Cricetulus griseus: one gene and its partners. The protein of the gene in region 1 binds, or shares a complex with, the protein of each later gene. Links are inferred from orthologs where the notes say so. Each region holds a gene or a part of one and is shown in the gene's direction. Other genes may lie near its edges.

What was found. Proteins that work in one complex are often made in the same cells at the same time.
Region 2: Pole3 (region 1) and Baz1a share a complex: the UniProt entries of both Homo sapiens proteins name them as parts of the CHRAC ISWI chromatin remodeling complex. The link is inferred for Cricetulus griseus from reciprocal best matches to the Homo sapiens genes POLE3 and BAZ1A.
Region 3: Pole3 (region 1) and Pole2 share a complex: the UniProt entries of both Homo sapiens proteins name them as parts of the DNA polymerase epsilon complex. The link is inferred for Cricetulus griseus from reciprocal best matches to the Homo sapiens genes POLE3 and POLE2.

The regions. Positions count from the first base shown.
Region 1 is NC_048595.1:83,345,315-83,349,065, forward strand, and holds Pole3 (DNA polymerase epsilon subunit 3), read left to right. Parts: upstream 1-1,051; 5' UTR 1,052-1,201; coding exon 1,202-1,267; intron 1,268-1,359; coding exon 1,360-1,445; intron 1,446-1,743; coding exon 1,744-1,862; intron 1,863-2,061; coding exon 2,062-2,231; 3' UTR 2,232-3,554; downstream 3,555-3,751. Other genes in the region: CUNH9orf43 (uncharacterized protein C9orf43 homolog), read right to left, coding at 247-343, 715-738. UniProt on the Homo sapiens protein: Accessory component of the DNA polymerase epsilon complex. Participates in DNA repair and in chromosomal DNA replication.
Region 2 is NC_048598.1:147,382,648-147,386,298, forward strand, and holds part of Baz1a (bromodomain adjacent to zinc finger domain protein 1A), read left to right. Parts: intron 1-954; coding exon 955-1,079; intron 1,080-1,682; coding exon 1,683-2,282; intron 2,283-3,651. UniProt on the Homo sapiens protein: Regulatory subunit of the ATP-dependent ACF-1 and ACF-5 ISWI chromatin remodeling complexes, which form ordered nucleosome arrays on chromatin and slide edge- and center-positioned histone octamers away from their original location on the DNA template to facilitate access to DNA during DNA-templated processes such as DNA replication, transcription, and repair.
Region 3 is NC_048598.1:134,165,641-134,169,291, forward strand, and holds part of Pole2 (DNA polymerase epsilon subunit 2), read left to right. Parts: intron 1-1,645; coding exon 1,646-1,822; intron 1,823-3,651. UniProt on the Homo sapiens protein: Accessory component of the DNA polymerase epsilon complex. Participates in DNA repair and in chromosomal DNA replication.

The DNA.
Region 1 (3,751 bases):
AGACACACATACACACACACACACACTCACAGAGGGGGGGGCGAGAGAAAACATTAGTTTCTCATGAAGAATTTTTTCTGTACTTGATATGAAAATTATATACCTTAAAACACTATTGAAAATGTAAAATCCTGTAATGACTTTAATGGGGAATATGTACGAAGAATCACTTAATGAATTAAAAAATACAACTTTAACATGGGTTGTTTTTTTTTTAATGAGAACGAGAATATGATGCATTCTTACAATCCGATGCTTCTCGCCCTTTCAGTACCGGAGCATTCCAAACTGAGCCCCGAAGTTTCATCAGGCGTCTCTCGATATCGGCAGCATTGCAGCTGTCCTAATAAAATAGTTGGCATTAAAAAAAAAGATTTAGATAAAGTTTATCTTTAATACGATTATCTCAAGTTGTGAGGGGAATAAGATTAAAGATGGACATCGGTAAATTTACATGCAGCAAAACTGGAAGAAAATCTCCACTGAGTTCCGAGCCAAAAAGAAAAAAAAAAAAAAAAGTGAAGGATTCAAGTGTCAGTCCGAGATTCCGCGGGATACAAGCAGATTCCAAATAGTGCTCTGTTCTGCACCTCTAGGGACAATGCAGAGAGAGAGAAAATGCTCCGAGGCTTTGGCCACGCCCACCTTTGCCCAAGGGGTCACGCCCACCTAGCCCAAGGGGTCACGCCCACCTAGCCCAAGGGTCACGCCCACCTCCTCCGGCGAGGCCACGCCCATCTCGGCCGTCGGAGTGTGGTCCCACAGGCTCAGTCTATGCCTTCACCTTCCATGCTAGGCACCATGCCCCCCCGTTGCCTAGCAGCGGCGCAGGGCACGATGGGAGAATAGACGGAAACCTCAGAGAGCCAAATTTAGTTTCGAAGGAAAGCTCCAGCGATACTGACAGTGCGTGGTAAAGAAACGAGCCTGGAGAGGAATGTCGAGGATACCGTGGAGGCTAACGGAAACCTCAGTGAGCCGAAACCATTGCGACTTGGAAAACTTGGCTACGCCGGCGACTTGAGGCGGGGTCTTGTGCAGAAGGGAAGCTGTGGTGCGCAAAGCACTGTGGGACACCCGGCAACGTGGGGTGGGAAGGAAGCCTCCGAGGGTCAGATCTTAGCGACGCGGGAAGTCCAGACACCAGAACTGTCTGAAGAGGAGGCCTGAGGCGGAGAAGGCTCGGGCTCCAGCGGAGGCAATGGCGGAGAGGCCCGAGGACCTAAATCTGCCCAACGCCGTCATTACTAGGATCATCAAGGAAGCGGTGAGCTGCTCGGGCTGGCGAATGGGTCGAGGGCGGACGAGTGGGCAGAAGGTTAACTAGATCCGCGTGTGTGTTTATCTCCACTCTCGCAGCTCCCGGACGGCGTCAACATCTCCAAGGAGGCCCGGAGCGCCATCTCCCGCGCCGCCAGCGTCTTCGTTCTGTATGCCACATCCTGGTGAGCCGAGCAGGGAGGGAGGCCCTGCGAGATCCTGACCCCGAGTTCATGGCCCCATTAATTGTTCCCCGACTCAGTAGATAGAGCGACTCACAGCTCCCCTCCAGTCCTCGCAAATTCTGAAGCAGGTGAAACAAGAAGGTTGCCGTATCCCTTTGTACGGAGAAGGAATGGACTGAGTCGTGTTACAAAAACCTATGACTCTAAGATAGATGTGGGTTTTCCCACCCCGCCTCTTTGGTGTCTCTTTTCCCCACCCACTCTGACAGCTCCTGAAGGGCTTTGCTTTTTCTTCCAGTGCGAACAACTTCGCAATGAAAGGGAAGCGAAAGACTCTGAATGCCAGTGATGTGCTGTCAGCCATGGAAGAGATGGAGTTCCAGCGGTTCATTTCACCATTGAAAGAAGCCCTAGAAGGTATTCACTCGCTCTTCAGTTTCTTAAGCCACACGGAAGCTGGTCATCCTTCGTTCCCTGATCACCTGATCTTAGTAATCCAATATTGGTCATGATTCAGCTCTGTTTAGTTGGTACCATCTCAGATACATGATGTGGGCCTGGTTGTTCTTCCTGTGGCTCAGTTTGTCTAATTAAACAATAATCTCCTTCTTTACAGCTTACAGGCGGGAGCAGAAAGGCAAGAAGGAAGCTTCCGAGCAAAAGAAGAAGGACAAAGACAAAAAGACAGATTCCGAAGAGCAGGACAAGAGCAGGGAGGAAGATGATGAAGATGAAGAAAGACTAGAAGAGGAAGAGCAGAATGAAGAGGAGGAAGTAGACAACTGAGTCGAGAGAATGGGCACTCTGCGGCACCATGGGAGTGACCAACCTCCCTGAGATGTTTTTATGCGAAGCCTTTCCCTGCAAGGCAGAGCCATCTTCGGCACAGGTGCCTAAGATCAGAATAAAAACTGACCAGAATGATCAAAACCAGCTCTTGCCAGGCTGAGGGCATCAGAGTAACAGAAACCTGTTTTGCTGAATCAGTCTGGAGGTTGTGACTTTTTAGTATAAGGGATTCTGACTGACTAAATAGTTTGATGTCATTTGTTTACTTAAGTATGTGGCTAGCTAGTTTTTGATCCCATTTCCCTGACCCTCCAAAAAAGTAATAACTTCCATGTTGCTTGCCTGCTGTGTTCTGGATCACAGAAGCACTCAAGGCTCAGGGGGAGGAAATGGGGCTTTGATCATGGTCACCCTGTTTGATTGTACAGTATCTGGCAATAGGTATTAATGGTCAGAATGGTTGCGCTTTAGGAAATGACTAAAAGGCTGTGAGAGAATAAGGTAATCTCTTCACTGGATGGTAGCATTACTTGTTTGTTTTGTTTTCTAGACTTAATTAGCCTGTAGCCCTTCTTTGTTGACTATAGATGTTCAGTCTTCTGGGGTGGCTGCACTCCTACACATACACTCTTAAATTCTCAGTGTTGATTAAATTCTGTCCAAAAAGGGTGTCAATTCTTAAAAACAGGTGACTTAATCTTAGGGTAACTCAGTGCCTGCCACTGTAGGATTTAGTGCTACCTCCTGGAAGGTATAAAATCCCAGGTTTTCTCTTGCTTAGTCCATCTCCCTGACTTGCAGCTGCTGCTTTTCATTCCTTGAACTCTTGACAAGTTCCAGATGTTATTTCCTCTAGGCATAGCCTTTTCCCTCTCCATCTCCTGCCTCTGCTTCCCAGCCCCTCTTTCTCCTTTTCTTAATTCATCTTCCAGTCTAGGAACTTTGGTAACCCATGTAGTGTCGCACAGTGCCAGTTCCTCAGATTCCTTAGTCCTACTCTCCTGAAACGCCTCTGAACCTTAAGGTAAATGTAACGGTGCTCAGGAATCTAGCAGCACAGCCACCACTGCTGTGGCTTTTGAAGTGTCTGTTGGCCTTTCCTTTCTCCCCATTTAGTGCTCCAAGCACCCTTTTTTTTTTTTTTTTTTTTTTTTTTTTTTTTGGTCTTAGTTGAGCACTTGAGGTTGAAAAGTAATGTAATATAGTTGGATACTGTTAGCTAGTTGAGTGAATACAATGAAGAGTTTATTGAAAGTGATGAGACTGTTGAGAAGATTTTAATGCTTTTTACAAATAAAGAACATTCTTGTTTAAAATGGTGACTCATAACAGTGTACTTTCAGAAAGAACCTCTCTCTCTCTCTCTCTCTCTCTCTCTCTCTCTCTCTCTCACACACACACACACACACACACACACACACTCAATCTGCATCTCCTTGGCTCACCAGCAGGTGAGTGAGCATTCACAACTAACGACACTGCTCTTAACCACAGCCAACATTTTCTGAAATTCTCTT
Region 2 (3,651 bases), on another chromosome or scaffold:
GAACTTGGCATATTGTGCTTACATGCAAGCAACTTTACTCCTGAGCTACCCTGTCTACTCCTTCATGTTTTTATACTCATCCTTCCCTGTCATATACCTTTTCCCTGTCTCCTTATAAATATAAATGTGAGCCTGCAAAACTTTGGATGTAGTAACAAAAATAGTAGCATGTACTTTGTCTGGGAGTCTTGCTGTTCACTCCGACTACCCTGGTACTCTCTGTGTGTGGCCCAGGCTGACCTTAGACTCAAGGTAGTCTTTCTCCCTCAGCCTCTGGATGTTGGAATTAAGGTATGCACCACTGCACCCAGTTTAAATGGTGGGATTCACTCTGAAGTTCATTTAATCTTAATTTAAATTTTGAGCAACATAATGGAGTAAGCAGGTTATGTTCATTCTACCCACGCACTGTGTCTGAAGTAAGCAGGTTATGGTCATCCCACCCACCCACTGTGTCTGAAGTGTGCACTTCCCCTGATGTGTGTACGCCTCCCTGTATTTTCCTACTCTGACCATCACCACCTTGCCAGTGCCCTGAGCGTTTAAAGTGACTTTCTACATCATCCACTTTCTCAGCTACATTGCAGTCAACCATGCTCTCTAATCCTCTTTCCCTTCTGCACTGTGAAGAGTTGCCTCAGCTGCACTAGCTACTCTTGCAGATGGGACACAGGTTCTGTTCCTAGCAAGTACTTGGTACTCAACACCATCTGTAAGTCCAGTTCCTAGGGATCCAACCCCCTCTTTCTGGCCTTCACAAGCACCAGGAGCATACATGGTGCATATACATACATGCAGGCAAAATGCATAAACATACTAAATAAATCCAAACTTCACTTTTCTCCACTGCTCTAGGGCCAAGCATGGTTTAACTCTGCCTTTTTTCTCATCCATATATTGAGTCACTCCTCTTATACTTTGTCAAGATTTTAAGCTCATACCTTTTCCTTTCAGGGAGGAAGGAAAGGAAGATTTTGACACTAGTATTGAGAGCAAAGAAACAGAGCAGAAAGATCTGGACCCTGATATGGTCACTGAGGATGAAGATGACCCAGGATCACAGAGAAGGAGCAGAAGAGGTATCATATCTGTTGGGTCATTTACGGCAGGGTTGTTTGTTTCTTGGCTATGTCTTGATTGAGCTATATTCAGGCCAGCATTAAACTCACTATGTTGCCAGAACTGACTTTGAACTCCTGACTCTCCTGCCTCTATCTCTCAGTGATGGGATTATAGGTATATGTTCCATGTCTATCTGTGGTGGTGTCTTACACATAGCCTTATAGCTCATGAGTTGTAAAAACCTGACCAATTTGTTATAAATGATGTTGTGGGGCCTCACTATGTAGTATATAGCCCAGACTTGTCTGGAACTTTCTTTTTCTTTTTTCTCAAGACAAGGTTTTTCTGTGTAGTCCTGGCTGTCCTGGAACTTGCTCTGTACACCTGGCTGGCCTCAAACTCAGATTCATCTGCCTTTGTCTCCCAAGTTGCTGTTACCACATCCTGGCATGTCTCGTATTTCTTTAATGAAAAATTAAAATATAATGAGGCTGAGTATGATGGCAGAGGCCTTAAAGAGCCAGGTCTATATGATGGGGCCCTGGCTCAACAATAACAGCAACAAAACCCAAAGAAACAAAATATAAATGGAATGTAATGATACATTTCTTTCAACACAGGAAAAGCTGGACAAAGTGGAGTCAAGCAGTGTATAAAGCAGGAGGAGATAAACTGCTGCATAAAGCAGGAGCCTCTTGCTGCTGATACAGAGGAAGCTTTGAGGCAGGAACATCAGCGGAAAGAGAAAGAACTCCTAGACAAGATCCAGAGTGCCATCGCCTGTACCAACATCTTCCCTTTGGGGCGAGACCGCATGTACAGGCGATACTGGATTTTCCCTTCTATTCCTGGCTTGTTTATAGAAGAGGATTTTTCAGGTCTCACTGAAGACATGCTGTTGCCTAGACCTTCATCATTTCATGATAATGCACAGTCTCACAACGCTCAGGTATCTGTTAAAACTGAAGAGTCATTCATGTCTGAATCTACCTCCAGTCTTGACCAAGGTCCATTTGACGATTCTATACTGCTGCCAAAACCGGTGCATAAGCCAAATCGGTGGTGCTTCTACAGTTCTGAAGACCAACTGGACCAGCTGATCGAAGCTCTCAACTCCAGAGGACACAGAGAAAGTGCCTTAAAAGACACCCTGCTGCAGGAGAAGAGCAGGATATGTGCTCAGCTGGCCCACTTTTCTGAAGAAAAATTTCACTTTTCAGGTAAATTTTTGTTTGTTTTGATTTTTGAGTCAGGGTCTCTACATATCGCAGGCTGTCCTGGAACACACTGTAGAACAGGATGACCTTCAAACCATGGAGATAGATCCACCTGACTTTCAGGTAAAGTTTCACTGAAAAGTATTGTGTTTTTTGTTTTTTGTTTTTTTCTTTTCCTATAATCCTAATCATTGAGGATTAAACCTATTTCAATCTGTTACACAGACGTAAAAATATGTTAATGTGGGCATATATTTCTTCATACAGACTAAGGTTCACAAAATGTCTTTATGTTGTTTGGATCATGAGTAACCATCTAGAGTATGAACAGGTCTCAGTAGACTGACTGCTTGTATTATTCAGCTTTGCATTGCTGTGACAAAATAACCTGCACTCCTGGGTTTGGCAGGAGTGACCAAGTATCACAGTGGTAGCTTGGAAACAGAAAACTGCAGTAGCTCACTTCCTTCTCTTTCCACCTTTATTGCTCTGGGCCTCCAGTCTATTTGGGTGGTGCCACCCCATTCAAGGTGGTTCTTTGACCTTCTGCTTCTGGCTACTGTCATATATGTTACTGGTCTAGAAACACCAAAGTGTACTTTACTGATTTCCCACAGATAGCCCAAGACTCTAAGTTTTGAAGATGCTATAGTAAATGGGATTAATTCCAGCCAGATTCATACATTAGTGGTTTCTGGAGGCAGAGTGGCTGCCAGGGCAGATCAGGGAGCAGTACTTCTTGTGGGAGGCTGACTCACTGATGGTAGATTAGAAAAGGAAAACCTCCCTTGATGAGAGTTTGGAGAACTGCTTACATTTGGGGCATGTTAACTATGTCATACTTTATGGTTTTTTTTTTCTTTTTATTTATTCTTTTCTCATATGTTACATTCGGACTGCAGTTTCCCTCCCTCCACTCCTCCCAGTTTAATTCCCCACACACTTTTCCTCTCCCCCATATACACTTCTCTTCAGAAAAGAGTAGGCCTCCTGGAGATATCTAACAACATGCAATAAAACCTCATAGCAAAAAGCCTCATAGCAAAGCAACCCACTAGGAACAAAAGGGTCAGAGACCCCACTGTTACCCAGGCTAAAGGACCACAGCATATATACAGAGGACCTAGCACATTCCCATGCAAGCTCTGCGATTGTCACTTCAGTCTCTGTAAGCCCTTATGAGCCCTGCTTTTGTGTGGGTCATGCTCTCCTGGTTCCCCCACCCCTCTGACTCCAATAATCCTTGCTTCCCCTCTTCCAAAGGATTCCCCGAACTCCACATGATGTTTGGCTGTGGATCTCTGCATCTACTCCCGTCAGCTGCCAGAGGAAGCCTCTCTGATGATTGAGCTAGGCACTGATCTATAAGTAT
Region 3 (3,651 bases), on another chromosome or scaffold:
TGGATCCCTTGGGTGTGGAGTTACAGAGGATTGTGAGCCTCTATGTGGGTGCTGGAAATCAAACCCTGGTCCTGTGCAAGAGCCACAGTGCTCTTAGCCATTGAGTCAGTACTCCAGTCCTTGGCTGTTTTAAAAGATTTATTTTTAAATTTTGTCATTTATGTGTGTGTATCTTTGAGAGTATAATATGCACATATATGTGCCAGTGCCCGTGAGAGCCAGAAGAGGGCATTGGGTCCCTTGGAACTGCATTACAGGTATTAGCAAGCAGTCTGACATGGGTGCTGGGATGTGAACTTGGGTCTTCATGATTGCTTAACCACTGAGCCATCTCTTCAGCACTAAGAAGGCAGAGGCAGGAGGATCTGTGAGTTCAAGGCCAGCCTGGTCTACAGAGTGAGTTCCAGGACAGCCAGGACAATCAGGTCCATTACACAGAGAAACCCTGTCTCAACTACCCCCGTCCCCCCCAAAAGAAACCCTTAGGTTTACTTCATAGTATGTGTATTATTTTTATTAGATGTTCTTATTTCTTATGTTTATTACATATTTCATATGGTGTGTCCACTACCAGGAGTACATGCAGTGGTAATCTTATAAATTCAAAGTTCCCAAATATACAGCTGTCATTGAGAGATATGGAAGTAAATCACTTTTATTCTTTGTTATAAAAAGGTCTGCTTATTTGTTTATTTATTTTTGCTTTTTAAAGATAGAGTCTTACTGTGTATCGCAGGGTGACTAGCTGCTGACCCATGCCTTCCACTATGAGGATGTCATTTTGCTTTGTACTTTTGTGTGTATATGGTGTAGGGGAGAAGAGTATGCACATGCCATGCGTGGCATTCGTGTGGAGCCCAGAGAGCAGCGTTGTGACATCAGTTCTCTTTCCGCCTTTCCATGGGCAGGGGACTCAACTCAGGTCACTAGGCTTGCATTGTGGGTGGCAAGCCTTGTATCCACTAAGCAATTCTACCTGCAAAATTGTTATAGTTGTGATTTTTCTTTTTAATAAATGTTTTCTTGGCTTATACATTAGCAGGACTTTTTTTTTAAGATTTATTTATTTATTTATTTATTATAGATACAGTGGTCTGCCTGCATGTATGTCTGCCTGACCAAAGAGGGCATCAGATCTCATTATAGATGGTTGTGAGCCACCATGTGTTTGCTGTTAACCACTGAGCCATCTCTCCAGCCCCTGATTTTTCTTTTTCTTTTTTTTTTTTTTTTAAGAGATGGGTCTTATATTTTTTTTGAGACAAGGTCTCCAGTTGTAGAACAGGCTGGCCTCAAATTCATGGCAATACTCAGCCTCCTAATGAGTGGGAGTACAGATCACCACACCCCTTTTTTGTCCTTTATGAGCTGAATTAGGAAATAACTTTATTATGTGTATGGTTAATTCAAAATGACTAAAGGGAGGGTTGGTTTTATGATAAATGGTGTTCAGTGAAAACTTAAATTGTTTTCCCCTAGGTTATGTGATAATTTCATTCTAAGAGCAGTGTTCATTGGTGTTCTGTGATTCAGGGATCCCTTATTTTGTAAATATCCTAGGTCTTCGCAGAAATCAATACTTGATTTAAAACTACTATTCTTGTTTTCACTGATGAACTGTTTTGCTTTGTTTGTGTTGCTGCAGTTTGTGAAGACTGTCTTATCTCAGGGACATCTGACTCCTCTGCCTCTCTATGTGTGCCCCGTCCACTGGACGTATGATTACACTTTGAGAGTGTACCCTGTGCCTGATCTGCTGGTCATTGCAGACAAGTATGATCCTTTCACCGTGACAAACACTGAGTGCCTCTGCATAAACCCTGTAAGGATGCCGTGGATGCTCTAGAGTACAGCACATTTCTCTGTCTTTTCTCTAATTTTAAAAATTACTTCTCTCTCTCTCTCTCTGTGTGTGTGTGTGTGTGTGTGTGTGTGTGTGTGTGTGTGTGCGCACACGCGCGTGCGCGTGCGTGTCAGGGTGTATGCCATGGTGAGAGTCAGTTCTCTCCTTCCACCATGTGGATCCCAAAAATGGAACAAGGTTGTCAGACTCAGCAGCAAGTACCTTACCCACTGAGCCTCTTTGTACCCTATAGCACAATTCTATGAATTTATATAGAGAGTAAAATCATCATGACAAAATATATAGTCAAACACTGATATAATTTGGTATACATAGAAGATTCTTAAATGCTCAGTATGTGATGTAACTATAAAGTATTGTAGTTTTTTTCGTTGTTTTGTTTTTTTCATACAGGGTTTCCCTGTGTAATAGCCCTGGGTGTCTTGGAACTCACTCTGTAGACTAGGCTGGTCTTGAACTCACAGAGATCTACCTGCCTGTGCCTCCCCAGTACTAGGATTAAAGGCATGTACCACCACTGCCTGGCAACTGATTCTTATGAATTTTAAATCTTAATATTTTTTGTTTCATCTGGGTCACATCTAGAAGCATTATGACCTGGATTGGTTACTTTTGTCAAATGTACATTTGTGTGGCTTTCTCTACACAGGGCTTATCATCAACCTTGGCACTTTTGCATCTTGGACCAAGTAATTCTTGGTTGTAGGAGGCTTTCATGTACACTGTGGGAAGCTCAGCAGTATACTTGTATCTCCCGATGCTGGTTACATCTTTCACTTGTGACAATCATAAGTACCCCTAGATGTTTGCTGAATGTCTATTGAGGGACAATAATCCCTGGTTGCAAATCACTCTCTAGGGATCAGCATTCTCCAAGGTTAACTCACTGGCATCATTACATAAAATTTGTGGTCTGATTTTCACAGTCTTCTGATTTTCAAAGGTTAACTCACTGGCATCATTACATAAAATTTGTGGTCTGATTTTCACAGTCTTCTGATTTTCAGTCTTTTTCTTGTTTTAGATTTATGTGTATAAATGTTTTGCTTCTATGTATGCGTGTGTACTGTGTGTGTGCCTGGTGACTGAGAATGTCCAAAGAGGGCATTGGATTCCCTAGAACTGGAGTTATGATGATTGTGAGCTGCCTTGTGGTTGCTGGGAATTGAACCCAGTTTCTCTGCATGAGAGTCAGTGCTCCTAACAGCTGTGCCATCTCTCCAGCTCCTCTGTGTATTACATTTAAATATCCAATGAGGCTATTTCCTCATTGGATATTCTCTTTAGTTGCTACATCTTTGGACATTTTCTTAGTTGATGCTATTTTAAAAAACACCTTACCAATGGGTTTTCCCACTCTGATCTTGAACTGTATGAGCAACCTCCTCTAGCACCATTCTCTCTTTCTCTTTTTTTAAAAAATATTATTTATACCTTTTAGTTAGGATCAAAACTTGGTTTTGATATTGCTTCATTACTTTTTTCTTTCTTAAAAAAAGATAATTATGGGGCTGGAGAGATGGCTCAGAGGTTAAGAGCACTGACTGCTCTTCCAGAGGTCCTGAGTTCAGTTCCCAGCAACCACATGGTGGCTCACAACCATCCGTTATGAGACCTGGTGCCCTCTTCTGCTGTGCAGATATACATGGAAGCAGAATGTTGTATACATAATAAATAAAATCTTTTTTAAAAAGTTGTTTTTTTAAAAAAGATAATTATATGTATGTGTCTGTGTGGCTATGTGCATTTGTGTGCAGGTGCTCATAGACACCAGGGGTGTCGGATGC